Lepisosteus oculatus: one gene and its partner. The protein of the gene in region 2 purifies or fractionates together with the protein of the main gene of each other region. This does not show direct contact. Links are inferred from orthologs where the notes say so. Each region holds a gene or a part of one and is shown on either strand. Other genes may lie near its edges.

Region 1 (8,155 bases), on a different chromosome or scaffold from region 2:
GGGATCTAAAGCTTCAAAAATAAAGTCGCTACTCACAAAGTAATGCTAACTGCAGTTCAGTTGGAGATATACCAATAAAACATTTAGATATAAAATAGGTTCCAAAATTCAGGAATAATGCTCTTCTCACCATTGAATTTCTTAACAATACTCTAAAATATGAAAATAATTGTAGTCAGAAGTGTGGTTTGTAACTAATTTACATTTCTGAAACTCAAAGGCATTCGCTGCAGGCATCGTGTACATGCAAGACACGAGAACCGAGGATATGAAGAAGATTAAAATTAAGGAAATGTGACATCTTTGTACATGTCTTACCTAAAAATAGTATATTCTTCTCCATCTGTGCATGTTATTCTACAAAGAGGCGCAAGCTCCGTGAGAAACTGTCCACCCTAGAAAATGAAATAAAGGGATAAAACATTTTATTACAAGGGCAGTAGTGGGATGAAATAATTTACGTTTTAAATATACAGAAATATATATATTGCTCACACATACTTCTTCAAATGATATCTCTGCTGTTTAGTAGCTGTATTACTTCGTACACCCCTTTCAACATGCTTATGGCTTGTAATGATATTTGTAATTTGGGAACATTTTCAAACTAAAATTGATGTTATCCCCCCATGATTTTAAAACAATTTTTACCTTGTACCTCGGTAGTATCGGAGAAATTATTGACTCAATACTTGATGTAATTTACATTTAACCAGCAGCACGCGATACAGTAGGCTAATGCTTTCAGTCAGTGTAATAAGCCTCCATCACCTAACAAACAACACTGAGAGGACTGTCACAAGTATCACCAAACTGGAAAGAAGGAGCTTGTTCATGCATGTCATATGCTGTATACAGAGGCTTGAGAAATACCCTTTTTGATTTCCCCGACACTTTGTTCTGAAGTCGGCTGCAGTTGGCACTGATCTGGTAATTGATGCTCTTGATTTTTTTCCCATGTTGTAAAATGGGATGTGATTCCGCAAGTGTGACGACACAGATTCTGCACACAAAAAAAAAAGAAAAGACAAGCACCACACTTAGAGCCACCAAACTAAAGAAGAACGGTGAAAGGGTTTTCTGGCAGGTTATGAACTTGGGGTGCAAATCAGATGCAGTCTGAATCCCTGACTGCAGTGTGGATACAGCTTTCGAGACGCATCCAATCAATAAGGAAACTTTAACAGCAGCAATGGAAATTAATCTTTTTATCATTAAGCTCATGAAGACAAATGGAGACTATTATTTAATGCGGAAATGCAGAATGAGAGAGATACAAGAAGCTAATCCTTTCTGTTTGTGGATCTGTCTAATCCCACCTAAAAGTCAATTTTATACATTTTTTTTAAGTGGGAAATGTTTTTCTACCGAATATTTCATATTTGAACAGATTGTACGTAACATCGGCGTTGCTACAAGGGCTTCTTGGATTTTTAGATCATTCTAGAATGTGTCACAAAGTAAGCCCTGCAGCTTCATAAAAAACAGCTGTCCAAATACATTTCATTCATTTAAACATGGCTGACAGTCAGCCATTTTCACCTTTCACAACATTTCTGTGGTTGACAATTTTGACAAGTTAAAATGCCTTAATGCAGACTTCAATACCACCCACATCAACGACCTTATTCACAGACTACATTCTTCCCCAACTCTAAATGTCAGAAAGTCTTTGGACAACTAGAAACTAACAAATCTAGGTGTTAATGTTTTTTTAATTATGTTTGAAGTAAACCACTTTATTTCCAAACGACTGAAAGTGGCTACTTAATATTAAGGTTGTCATAGAAACAGTTGGTTCCCAAGCAGTACTTAAGCTAATTAGAAAACAGCACGCTTGTTCTGCAGATCTGCATGTAAAGTCCCCAATAGAACACATTTAATGTCAGAAGGCATTTGATACAAAGGATATGCTAAAGTAATCTAATACCAACTTAATAATAAGCTTAGGTTAATTTTTTTTATTACAAGTGTATTTTATTTGATCCTTATAACGGAATGTCCTCTTTCAATATGCAGCCAGGAACTTAAGGAGAGGATATTTCTACCAAACAGCCTCAGTGCAAACGTAAAATTTTCTTATCGTACCATTTTAAGTCATTTTTTGAAGGTTAAAAAAGGATATTTACAAAACAACCGATCTTTATTTTCTACACATAAAGATTTTTGGGGGGTATAGTAAAAAATATGAAAACATCTCCTATGCAACAACAATCCAGTACAAACAGCACTGGATATTCAAGGTGAAAGATGCTTTAAAAAATCCCTTTTTGAGTATTATATGTGTATTTTTGTATCAGAGCATGTGTGCATCTTGTAGAACTAACCTGAATCACAAACAAAGCTCAGATGAATCTTAGAACAAACACAATTTCAAACATGATATAAAAAGGGCAAGACCACTGCACTGTTATAAATGTATATAATTTTAGATAAGCGTTAATAGGTTTATATACACTTCAGCTAAATAAAGTTTTTATTTCTACAACATTTTATTCTCAGGTCTTTTAGGTTTTGTTATTTTTTATCCAAAAATCGCAAAGGGGAGCTAAAGTATTTATTATTAATAACTAAGCAATTGGTTACACTACAAATTGTTTCTGTAAATTAAACATCAATTAAAAAATAATTTCTGTACTTACCTATTGGAATGTTGCAGAATGCAGTGGTCCTCACACGGTTTATTCTTCAAATCTTGATTATAAAAAGTCGTAATATCATACAAATGTAATGTTAAATATACATTAATAATATAGTAAAATCAAATACAAAGCGTGCAATAACATTAACATTCGACACAACAATCTGTATTATAAATTTAAACTTTGAAATTTACATATAATTTTTCCTAAATTATTTCTCTCTCCATGTACCTTATTTATTAAGGCAAAATTTCAAAAAGGGTTAAAATCTGTGTAAATACTTAAGTTGCTCTCTCGTTTAAGAACAGTTTAAATGGACAAGAACTAATTTACGTACCTGTTTTATACCATCGGGTAAAATACCGATCAATAACAGAAGGAGTTCCGTCATTATTCCCACCTTCCATCGATAAAGATAAACAATCTGGATTACTTTAAAGTAATTTGATTTTATATACAGCACAAAATTGTGTTACAATATTTCAACAATGGGACTCGAAACACTGTCACACCACAAATGTGATTTCTTCCGTACGCCAGTAAATATTTCCGAGTGCCTCACGAACTGCGCAGATTCGTTCCTTTTGAGTTAATGCACAAGCTCTCGGTGTATTACTGACACCTACTGTATCTATGTAAAATGCAAAAAGTGACATTAAGAAAATTCTGACATAATGATTGACAACTAGTCCAGTTGACCTAAAAATGAAAGAAAAATTTTATATCTTTTCCCTACATTTACATAAAACATAATCCAGAAAATTAATTTCAAAAACACTTTCTATCCACAACACCATACCCTAGATCTGTTTCAGAATTCCTTATAATGCTTTTCAATCCGTTGATGAAAGATAATCAGAATTCCTTTCATCTATCTTGTATATTTCATATCATAGGGTCGCAAAGATTTATCTCTCAAGTCAGCACCAAACTGGGTGACACAGGATTGCCTTTATGTGCTAACACAGCCACAACACATCACAACAGACAGCAGGGAGGGAATGAAAAGTTACTTTTTACGGTTTAAATTAAGGTGGAGTTTCTGGAAGGCCAGATTGTACTAAAGTTCTGAATATAATTTACACCTGGGTTACGCTGATGCCTTTCAAAAAGTGACACAGGAATTTAATTAACCAATTATTCAGAACCTTGGTTCAATCTCAACTAAAATACAGAGCCTCCCAATATCCCAGTTCCTGGTAAATGCACACTTGACAATATTTTACCTGATTTTGTGTGCTTTAGAACCACGGGTATATGCAGTTTCTGAAGGTACATGAAAATCCATCCATCTTCAGATCACTTCATCCAACGAAGGAGATGGATCCTAACCTGCGAAGCAACAGGCTCAAGACAGGATAGACTTACACAGGATGCCACTCCATTGTAGGGCAGTCACACAAACAACTGGGCCAGTTTTCCCTGAAGCCAATTAACCTACCAGTATGTCTTCAGAAGGTGGGAGGAAATGGGAGTACCAGGAGGGAACCCACACAAACACACAGAGAAGATACAAACTGCACACAGATAGCAGCCCAGGTCAGGAAGTGTGAGTCAACAACGCAAACTACTGCACCACCATACTGCTACCCATACACATACGTAAACACGTCTAAATATATTTTACAATAACCTGAATTTCACTAGGAATAACAACACCCTGCACCATCGAGAGCGCCCTCACCAATGGGATCAATGTGTGGTACAGCAACACCTCTTCTCGAGAGAGAAAGGCACTGCAGAGAATGGTGAATGTGGCCCAGAAGATCATCCGTTGACTTCTCACAGAGTTTAAACAGCTCTATGAGGACCGCTGCCGTGGTAGAATTCTGGCCATCACAGAGGACAGTCACCACCCCAGGCATGAGCTCTTCACCCCACTGCCCTCAGGCAAGAGATACAAGAGCATATAGACACTTACCACCAGATTCTTCAATTGCTTCTACCCACAAGCAGTGCAATTGGTGAAGACATTTGGCCATGCCCCTTGGACCACATCTACACCATCTATCTCATTATAATTTCTTATTTATTGCTCAACTGCAGTCATTTTTTACATGTCTGCATTGTTTACATTCAAACTGTTTACTTGTTTACTTGTACATCATCTACTGTTTGTTTGTATGTTGTCTTGATGCACTGTCTGCACTTTGTATTTTTACACTTTTTTAACAATTGAGAGACTTTTTGTAAGTAAGAATTCCATTGTACCAGTACATGTACTGGTTACACATGGCAATAAAGTTCAAGTTCAAGTTGAACCCTAGAATTAAGTGTACTGTAGGATTATCGAGTGGTTTAGTAAAAATTTGGCTCAACCCACCTGGTTGAGGACTAAGCTTGTGGCCATAGGGAATCTGGAAGGCTAAGTGTTTTGATTCCTCTTTCTTCTTAAAGTGTGTGAATTTGTTTTATATTATTAAATATTACTACTGTTAATTCATATTTCTACAACTGCATAAACTTCTTTAGTAGTGTATAAATATTTATGCACAAACTTTATGGACTGTAAATAATAATTAGTTATATAATAAATACAGATTAACATTTCCTTTAATAATGTATTAAGGAATTGCTCCCATTTGCATTTAGGTGTTGTTACCTCACGACAATCTGCGTACATAAAATCAAAGGTACGATTTGCACATGATTGCATAGCTGTCATCATTGTTCAGGTCTGGTATCAGCATGATTTACCTTGGTAAATAAAAAAAGGTCTAGACAAATTTTGCACCAACTTATAAATAAACAAAATTAATGACGTTCTTGGATACAAAACACGGAAAACCATGATGTTTAATTTATCCTGTTTCTAGAATTGACTCTAAACAAATGTCCATAAAGTAATATTTACAGCTTTTGGTTAATCAAAAACCAACTGGAACTGTTTCGTTTTGCTATATTCCAGTTACTATGAGGAGATTTGCTGGCATTGCATAAAATTGGCTATTCTCCACTAGCAGGAATTTGACAGTGTCAGCTAATCTGTCAGGCACTGTCAACTTCAGAATGCCAGGCTTGTGAAATACTGGAAAGAATTACTCTTACCAGAACTACTTAAACTGTTTTTCTCTCTTTGCTGTAATGCATGCATTTTCTGCTAATTAAATTTATATTGTGCTGTCATAAATGCAAGCACTAAAGGACAATGATTGAGTAATCTTTAAAAAAAAGATTTAGAAAACAATTATTAATTTCAAGTATAACCTTATACAGCTGTTTAGTCATAAAATATTAGTTTTCATGTCTGGTGTTCATCTTGTTTGATGCTACATACTGTACATGTGTAGGTAACATACAGTACTGTATATGCCACTAAAATACTGAAATTCCTCATCGTTACTTCTTACCAAAAAAATACAAATTTGTTGTGGACAAATTAATTTTCTCTTTTTATCTGGGTTTATATTTTACAAATAGTTTTCCTGACTGTCATAGATTTTTTAGCAAACAAATAATAAACTTGCATAACTGAGAGAATGAGTGATGGTTCTTTTTTGTCACAGTGGTCACCTAATGCCCTTGATTTAATCATTGAACAAGGTTTTATACACTTTATTAAACATTTTATATTTTTATACTCTTCATGGATATATTGTGTAATCTTGACAGACACAAGAAGACATTTAATATCTGTCAATCATGAACATGTAAAAGAATAAAACCAACAGTCAGAATGGGTGTTCTCAACTAGTAATTCTTTTTATTATTTTTATTTTCTATTAAACCTTTTTCGGAACCCTTTTCCAATGGCCTTGGCAGATATGCTCTAAGTTTGTTCAATGCTAAACTGTCCCAAAATAATCTGATGACAGCTCAGAGATTCTTACTCTAAACTTTAGGCTTGTCCAGGGTGCAGTCTGCCAGCACTAAAGATTAATTTCAATCAACGTAATAGCATGATGTAATCAGTGGTGCCTTTGTTAGCATGCCACCATCTTGTCTCAGAACTCATGGCCAATGTTGTTCCCGTACCAGCGGAGTCCGGGACCTGGAAGCACCTGGTCCCTTCAAGGTTTTAAAGTTCCTGTTCCTGTTCCTGCTGGTTCTGACCCGGTTCTGTCTTGGATGAACCGCCCAGTTCTTGATTTTGCCTTCTCTCAGATTCCCCGTTGGACTCAGTTTTGGACAGTTTGCCTCGGCCACACCTTCCCCGAACACCAGCGCATTATGGACACGCCCCTTGTTTTCATTCCCGACTCCCACATGCTTTTTCCCTGTGTTTTTCCTCACTCTACCCCGGATTGTGTCGTCTGCATAGGGTCCGGAAAGAACGCTTTCATGACAAGGGGTTCTTGCTCGAGATGGACTCGAGATGGACTCGAGATGGACTCAAGACGGCTAACAGGCCTGTGGGACTCCATAGGTTAGGAAGGCTTGAAGAAGTTACAGCAAATGCTGTTCTGATCAGCCTCACAGATCCTGGGACAGCTGGGCTGCATTGTAGTTTATTTGGTTCATTTGGTCTGCTGATGAACAGAGTTGTTTTGCAGGACCAGAAGTGAAGGGAGGCGATAACTTCACAAGTTAGTGGCATCCCTTCTCCGCACACACAAGAGTGTGGAGTCTAGGCAGCACAGGTTATATCCGAAATACACCCTGTCAATTGAAGGGAGCAGGTGGCTGGGCCGACTGAGCAAGAAGGCAGGGAAATCACGAGCCTGGCTGCTGCTGTGTCGAGGGTCGCCAAGGCTGGTTATAGAGAAACATCCCTTGCCAAAGAGGGTCAGCCGGGAAAAATAGGAGAGAGAGATATTAAGCAGCAGCCAGAATCCTGACCAGGTCAAGTGCAATTGTTCACATTACTCCTATCCTGGAGTCCTTGCACTGGCTTCCGGTCAAATTCCGTGTAGACTTTAAAATCCTCACGCTCACCTATAAGGCTCTGCATGGCTTGGCACCTCTGTACCTGTCTGAACTATTATCACCTTACTCCCCACTTCACAACCTTCACTCTTCTAATTCTGCTCTCCTTACTGTCCCCCAAGCCTGTCTACATTGTATGGGTGACAGGGCCTTCTCCTGTTATGCCCCCAAGCTCTGGAACTCTCTGCCCTGGATATCAGAGAGTCACCTACTCTAAATTCCTTCAAATCCAGACTCAAAACCCTCTTCTTCAGAAAAGCCTTTACTTAACTGGTTCCATTCTTCATCCCTCTGCTTTTCTTAGTATCACCATCCACGGTCTCCTCTGTATATTGTAATTGTGTTTTATCTTGTGTATTCTTCTTATTTATTGTTGTTGTCATCCTGTAAAGCGCTTTGAGAAGCCTCCTTTAAAGGCGCTATATAAAATAAAGTTTATTATTATTATAATTATTATTATATTAAGAGTAAAAAAGAGACAGATAACGTCGAAGACTGTTAGAGTGAGAGATGTGACAGAAGAGCTGGGAATGAGTAAACTGGGTTGAACTGGGTGGCGTGGAGTGGATTGTAATGAATACTACCAGAGATAGTGAAGTGTAAGAGAAATAATTGGGTGCCTTGTAAAAGTATTCACTCAAATGATA
Region 2 (7,240 bases):
GAAAGATCCTTTATTGTGTTTTTAATAAAATAAGACAACACTTTTCTAATAATAAACCACTTAAATTCTTAAAATGACATAATGGTAGTTCTCATGTTTTATAATGAACAAAGATATTTTGAAATGATTTTGTTTATTTTAACATGAATGAAGATAGACCTTTTCACCACACACTTCAAATGGAATAGAAAACAAAACAAGTGTTATCACATTTTCCACTGTTTCCAAGTTCCACCACACAACAGAAAAAAAAGCACACTAAGACTTCAAGAACCTGACTGCTCTCTACTGGAGAACCTTGAAACTGAACAAGAAAAGGTAATCTGGATAATATACTGTACTGATACACATTTAATATGGAAATAAAAACAAAGCTGAATCTGTAACATCATACATTCATGTAATGTCCACAAAATCCCGTCTTTGCCCTACACTTTTCCACAATCAATCAAGTTAATATCCCAACAGAGCTGCGATGGCCTCATTCTCTTTTTGTTTGCAAAGAGTTCTTTTTGAGAATGAACATATTAGACTACATATTCTACCAGTTGACTTGTGATCAACTGGTAGAGATCCCACCTACAGAAAAACAGCATACCAGAAAAGAGATACGTTTCCTTCACAAACCACTATATGTGCCTATTACACATGAGATCAAAGAATCAGGGTATAACAACTCTACCACGTACCACGGCCTGGCCATTCAGTAGATATAAACCTCATACACCTCATGCACATACAGGCAAACATCACTTCTACCCTAGGAATGCATCCCCATAAAACCACCAACACAAAACCCCCTAATACAACTTTTATGCCAAAATGGCAGGACTGGCCATCTACATACAGCACATATAACACAGACTGTAAAACCTCCAAGTATGATTTTTATCTGTCATTAGATTCTTGAACGTAGTTATAGCTTGGACATTGCACAGGCCTTGAGATGCATGAAAATGATCACTCTCTCAGATTGGAGAATGACTAGACAAAGCAGCACAGACAGACAGGACTCACCTCTCTCACGGAGAGCTGGGGTGGAAGAGACACTGACACAACTAGACTGTTGAACTGGTAGCCAGCGGAATCCACTGCCCGGGACATCTATCAGTAGCAATAATGTGAGGGAGGGGTCAACAAAAAAGCATCAAAATACAGGAGCCTACTGAACACCTTTCTTCACTACCAGTTTCGGCTTTTTCACTTTACATTTCACTGTATTCACGATGATTTTAAATTGTCAGCACGTATTTTAGCTTACAAATACAGAACAGTGATTTTTTAAATGCTGTTCTACATCATTTCATTTTTCTCTTTAAAGTCTATTAACCTTGTGATGTTCTTTTATCAGGGGAAAGTGAAGCAGTGCGTCCATCTCAAGTGCATAACAGGAAACTGCAGAGCAGTGTAAGCAATATGATTACAACTTTTTGATTTGTTTCTTATTATCATGGACTTGCTTTATTAAAGAAATATAAGCTTCGCACAACAGGCTTTGTCACAACTTTTCCAAACACTTCTGTTCTTTGTCATTTTACAAAGATTCAGTAAGAAGAATGTAGGATATATCTGAGCTTACTTTTTGGGCAAACTCTTTGTCACAGAAGTCCTGAAGCACTCCCAAACACACCACACAAACGTTTTGCTCATTTTTCTGGGTGTCAAAGCTGTCCCCAGGCAGGGGTATAACAGTTCCCTTTTCACCAGCTACACTGATCTCTGCTCCCTCCAGCTTAATTCTTTTACAAGGGGGGTCCTCCTCTTCTTCTGCTGCAGCAGTAGGGTTACTACTTTCATCTGGTTTGGCAAAACGGTGCAGTTCATCCTCCAGAATCTGCAGGGAATAAATAAGAAGTCTTTATGCCACTAGACACAGCTGCACCTTGAAGAAAAAGCACTTGGATCTAGATCAGGCATTTCCATTTTGACAACAAGGATTATTTTAGACTAAAATAATCAAAAAATGCTAATTAAATTTAAATTAAAATGCCAAAAAAATGTTCTTGCAAAGTTAAGATATGGTAGATTGAACTGAATAAAACTGAGAAGATCAAGAGTGTAACTATAAAAAAGAGCAACAGCAATACCTGATATGGCTGTCTGTAGGCAGACTGCAGACCCACACAACAGAATCGAAGCACACAACGTGGGCAACAGCCTGCTTTCAGCAGAGTCTGTACAATTGTCCTGTCCTTCTCCTTAAGGGGCAACATAGCTCTGACTGTAAACACAAGGAAGAATGGAAAATGCAGTCGATTTCAGAGTAAAACAGACCAGGTAATGCTTTTCTTACCATCACAGCATCACATAGTCCAAACATATCAGGAGATCTACTGATCTTGAATTGAAAAGTTACGGTTTCATCATCCTATCACATATTTCCTATCTTAATTACAACTGGGTTATACCTGGAGGTACCTTAGCTAACAATATCTAGACTAGTCCGTTTTATTTGGACGTTCTGCGTATGATTAAAATCTCTCCACCTTTGTCGTGTCATTCTGACATGTACTGTAAACACGTTCTTCCACCTATTACCAGTTGACTTTACCTGACTTAAAAATTATTAAATATTTTGTCAGTCCTGCTTATTCTCGGTTCAGTACCTGTCCACGGCTTTGTCTATGACTGGGTTTACAGAGGACAGCCAGTACATCAGCACATGATGTAAGCAACCGTAAACAGAATTCTTAGCGGACGAAACAGGACATTATTCACCTAAGCATATCCACATCACGCATCTTTACCAACAATTATATTTTTCTTAATGTATACAAATAATACATCAATCTGGCTTACAAAATAATGATATAGCAAGGTTTATCACTTTTTATCACTTTTAATTTGATTTATACATTGACCATTGCAATGACTGCAATGTCTCAGTAAGTTTAACTCGGCTTAGTTTTTTTTTTTGGTCCTGTTCGTACAATAAAGTTAATGGTCGCCAAGTTGATGTTGGACAGCAAACAGGATGTCCTAATGTAGCGTGATTACCCAACGTGCTGCTGCTATTGCACTCCTACTATTTCAAAGAAACATTAATTTCTGTAGATAAAAGAAAGCACACATGAATATTACAACAAAACAGAACAGCCTCAATAATTAAAACTTCCTATATGCATTCAATTGAGGTTGCACGAAAACAAAGCACATTCCGTACGTACGTGCTTTCTACACATCCCCGAGCTCTTCCACGTCCCCTGCGTCAGTAGGCACGATTAATTGTTCTCCGAACAGTAGATCTACAGCATGAGCACTCGCTTTAGATGCCAACCTGGTGTAGATTTAAGGCAAAAAAATTACAAAAGTAAATATATTAGATTATTAATTCTAAGGCACAAACACGTCCTTGTGAATTAGCACAAAACCTCGAAGTTCTAGGAATCAAGCCCAAATGGTTCATATCTAATTCAACAAAAACATCGATGTATTTGACAAGAAATATATATATTTTTTAGTTAGTGATTACAAATCGTTGTGTTTTCCTCTGAAATACATTTCGAGTGTATGTCGCACTCGTATTACAGTTTCACATTCAGGCTCATACTTTTCATCCTAATTCAATACCTTCGTCCTTTGCTGCGATCCATTATTAAGGTCTAGGACAGGACCAGTGTGACGGGCTGGATTCTGAACTGTGAACTGGGTAGGAACTGTAGAAAACAGGGTAACCGTTTTGGGGGGATTTTAAAGGATGGCATCGCAGCCTCCCCCGAAACCCTGGGAAAGACGGATTCCAGGTGCCATTTCTACTCCAGCTGCCTTTCAGTGAGTAAAAACGTTGTCTTTTTGGCAATGCTGTGTTTAATTGTTGCTTAGGCCTGCAGTGGCTCTTCAGATGCCTGCACTTTTTACAGGCTTATTATTAATGTACATGTAGATAACAAAGATAAGCAAACTGGCGCATATCACTTATATCATCAATCTGAATACAAATTTAAACAACTATGTACAATGAAAAATCCCTGAAAAATGGCAAAAGCATTCATAGTTTTACTGTTCAGTCAAAACAGCTGCGATTGTGTAATTAGCTTTACCAGAAAGACGTTAAAAACAGTGGAAGATTTTAAAAAGTCGAAGACGAACTTTTGCTCAGCTCAGATGTGTAGTTACCGCAGTCCTCTGAACACTTTCAATTTTTCTTTTGTTCGGTTTAGCTTTCAGCAGAGAGCAGAAAAGAATGAGATGCGTTCTGTGCAGCATACAATGCAAGCGAAGATCGACAAATATGACATGTTTGCTGAGGTATTTTAATCTACGCGCGTGTGTAAACCTAAATGGGGCCTGCTTTCAATGAACAGGTCAACGGAATTTGGGTCCACTGGCCTGTCAAGACCGGGCCCTCCTGTCCTGACCAGAGTTCCACCTCCCGTTCCCCCAAGACCATCTCAGCAGGATCGTGGCAACAGTCTGACAGCCTACCGACCAGCATACAGCTCCTTCTCCTCTTCCTACAGCCCCTATGGAGGCTCAGTATATGGGGGCTACAGCCCATACAGCTACGGCTATGGGGGTGGGCTGGGATACAACAGGTTCCGTGCGGACGAAGCTCCACCCAGCCGATTCGTGCAGCAGGCAGAGGAGAGCAGCCGGGGGGCCTTCCAGTCCATCGAGAGCATCGTCCACGCCTTCTCCTCCGTCAGCATGATGATGGATGCCACGTTCTCCGCCGTCTACAACAGCTTCCGGGCAGTCTTGGATGTGGCAAACCACTTCTCCAGGCTGAAGGTCCACTTCACCAAGGTCTTCTCCGCCTTCGCTCTGGTGCGCACCCTGCGGTACCTCTACAGGCGGCTGCAGAGGATGCTGGGACTGCGCAGGGCGTCCGAGGCGGAGGACCTGTGGGCGGACAGCGCTGGCGTAGTGGTTGAGGCTGGAGCTGAAGACAGAGCTGCCAGCTCTGTCAAGTCTTGGCCTATATTCCTTTTCTTTGCTGTCATCCTTGGAGGACCTTACCTGATTTGGAAACTGCTGAGTTCAACTGTTGGGGCAGAAGAAACTGGTGAGTCCCTTTCGAGACAACAATATAGTCATGTATGGAAGAAGAAAACTCACCAGGAAGGAAATACACAGGTTGGAATATATTAGAAATAGGGTTTGATTGTTTTGTTTACCATTATATTAAGACACAGCCTATCCCTTCCATGGTGAAAAACAACAGCAGTGATCTTCATTTGCTACTTACTGTCAGTACAGTGTTGGTCTGTTTAAAACTATTGTCTGAAAGTATGTCTGATACAGCAGAGTTTAAGTGTATATTATAGTGTCTGTTATAGTTGAGTATAATCGCTTTTAACCATAATTGTTTGAACCCAAAGCATCCACAAACTGGGCAAATGGCGACGATGACCACGTGGTGGCAAGGGCAGAATATGACTTCACAGCTGCCTCGGAGGAAGAAATTTCTATTCGTGCCGGGGATATGTTGAACTTGGCACCTAAGGGTAAGGATGTGATCCATTTATTTTAAATTACATTCCCATGTCCAAAGTGCGATTCTGCATAATTAAGTCCCAGTTTTATAGACTTTTAAAGATATGCTGCAGAACGTTGGCATGGTTTTAAGAGGGACATGACTGCTGTCTCATTTGTTTGTTGCGCACATACTTTTCCACAAACATTAATTATAGTGTTTTTATTCCTGGCAGAACAACAGCCTAGGGTACGGGGATGGCTTTTGGCCAGTTTGGATGGTCAGGGTACAGGACTCGTCCCAGCCAACTACGTTAAAATTCTCGGCAAAAGGAGAGGCAGGAAGCAAGCAGAACTGGAGAGAATTGCAGAGCAGCAGCCAGGGTCGGCCAGCACACAACAAGCACTGGGAGCTGGGGCAGCTGGGGCAGCTGGGGCAGCGGCGGCAGCGCCAGAGACCCTTTCAAACCCCGAGGATGTGTTCGAGTCCGTGTTCACGGGAACACCGGGAAATCCCGAGAGGAAGCCCTCTTCCAGTGCTGCTATCGTTATTCCTGAGAAAATAGATCTGTGAAATTTGTACTATTTCTGTGAACATTTTTTGGGGGGGAATTTGATTTTAAAACCAATTCCCTACACATCACTGGTCAAGAAAGGGGAGAAACTGAAAACGTTCTATGTCCTCAGGCTGCTCAGATTACCAGATGACCCACTGTCCGTTTCGTCACTTCACTGACAAGTGAATGCAGCAATTATCACAGGAAGCTAAAAGCCATTTCAAGACAAATTAAATATGTTGTCTGGAAACTTTGGGTGACCCCCAGTCTCCTGTGTCCGATGAGATAATAAATATCCTTGGTTTTCTTTTAATGATGACACTGGCAGAAAACCTCTTGCTGGTTGCATTTTGTAGTCATAATGATTGAAGGCCATTAAATTATGCCAGTGTATTTTTAATAACATTGGACATTCTAGACGCATTTAAGATTAACAGGTTGCCAGAAGCTGTTCACTTGCATATAACTTTGATTGTTTGGCCATAGGTTTAAATTTGAAACTGAAAAGAGAAAGTTTTAGAAAATGGATAAGTGGAAAATAAGTGAATTGTTCTTTTTTTTATAAAGATGGGATAATGCTGAGTTTTTTTGTTCTGGTGAAAAGTTTCAATCATTATGTATTAATGACAAAGTATATATTTTTTAACAAAGTCAGCATTTTAGGATGAAAACCAAATCCCAAATAAGAGGGAGAATATCAATTAAAAATATTAAAAATATTAATATATTAAACCTATGTTTTACCATAACAAAGCTATACCTTATTGTTTTCTTTGAAGGGCTTTCATTGTTTTGTCAATCCTTTTTTTAAGCTAAAGAGCTTCACACTGAATTGTTGAATATGACACGAGTAAACATGGAATTTCCTGTTACATGTATTTCATTCGATGCACTGTTGTTTTGACTCATACTGTTGTCTCTTACCTTTGAGAAAAGATCGAAATTGCTCCTGGGTGCCTTTGGGGGGCTTGTGATTTAAAAGGTTAATACAAAGTGTACAGGGGATTTAATTTAGTTTAATTTAGTGTGCAATGATTGGTCAGTTGTGTTTCACACAAAACTATGAAGTAGGCTATTATTACGGAATAACCGAAGCATTCTTAGAATTGTAAAATCTTTTAGTGTATAAAGATTCGCATTATACACTAAAGGTTACTTTACTTGGAAGTTTGGCTTGGTGAAAATCTAAGCTTCCTCTCAAGTATTAGTAATGCTAATTCATTGATGCAGAGGTGTTTGCACATCGTGAATTAAAGTATGCACAAATA

The links.
Region 1: the proteins of pus10 (region 2) and abitram purify together in Homo sapiens (affinity purification with mass spectrometry; 3 studies listed by BioGRID and IntAct, counting the BioPlex papers as one, with this or other methods). This does not show direct contact. The link is inferred for Lepisosteus oculatus from reciprocal best matches to the Homo sapiens genes PUS10 and ABITRAM.

Annotation. Positions count from the first base shown.
Region 1 is NC_090705.1:32,604,445-32,612,599, forward strand, and holds the start of abitram (protein Abitram), read right to left. Parts: upstream 3,175-8,155; 5' UTR 3,050-3,174; coding exon 2,980-3,049; intron 2,695-2,979; coding exon 2,643-2,694; intron 1,004-2,642; coding exon 874-1,003; intron 396-873; coding exon 319-395; intron 1-318. UniProt on the Homo sapiens protein: Actin-binding protein that regulates actin polymerization, filopodia dynamics and increases the branching of proximal dendrites of developing neurons.
Region 2 is NC_090712.1:9,897,759-9,904,998, reverse strand, and holds the start of pus10 (tRNA pseudouridine synthase Pus10), read right to left. Parts: upstream 3,277-7,240; 5' UTR 3,168-3,276; intron 3,157-3,167; exon of another isoform or gene 2,998-3,156; intron 2,953-2,997; exon of another isoform or gene 2,931-2,952; intron 2,912-2,930; exon of another isoform or gene 2,607-2,911; intron 2,222-2,606; 5' UTR 2,214-2,221; coding exon 2,088-2,213; intron 1,835-2,087; coding exon 1,580-1,834; intron 1,105-1,579; coding exon 1,018-1,104; intron 1-1,017. Other genes in the region: pex13 (peroxisome biogenesis factor 13), read left to right, coding at 3,698-3,771, 4,305-5,005, 5,322-5,447, 5,652-5,989. UniProt on the Homo sapiens protein: Protein with different functions depending on its subcellular location: involved in miRNA processing in the nucleus and acts as a tRNA pseudouridylate synthase in the cytoplasm.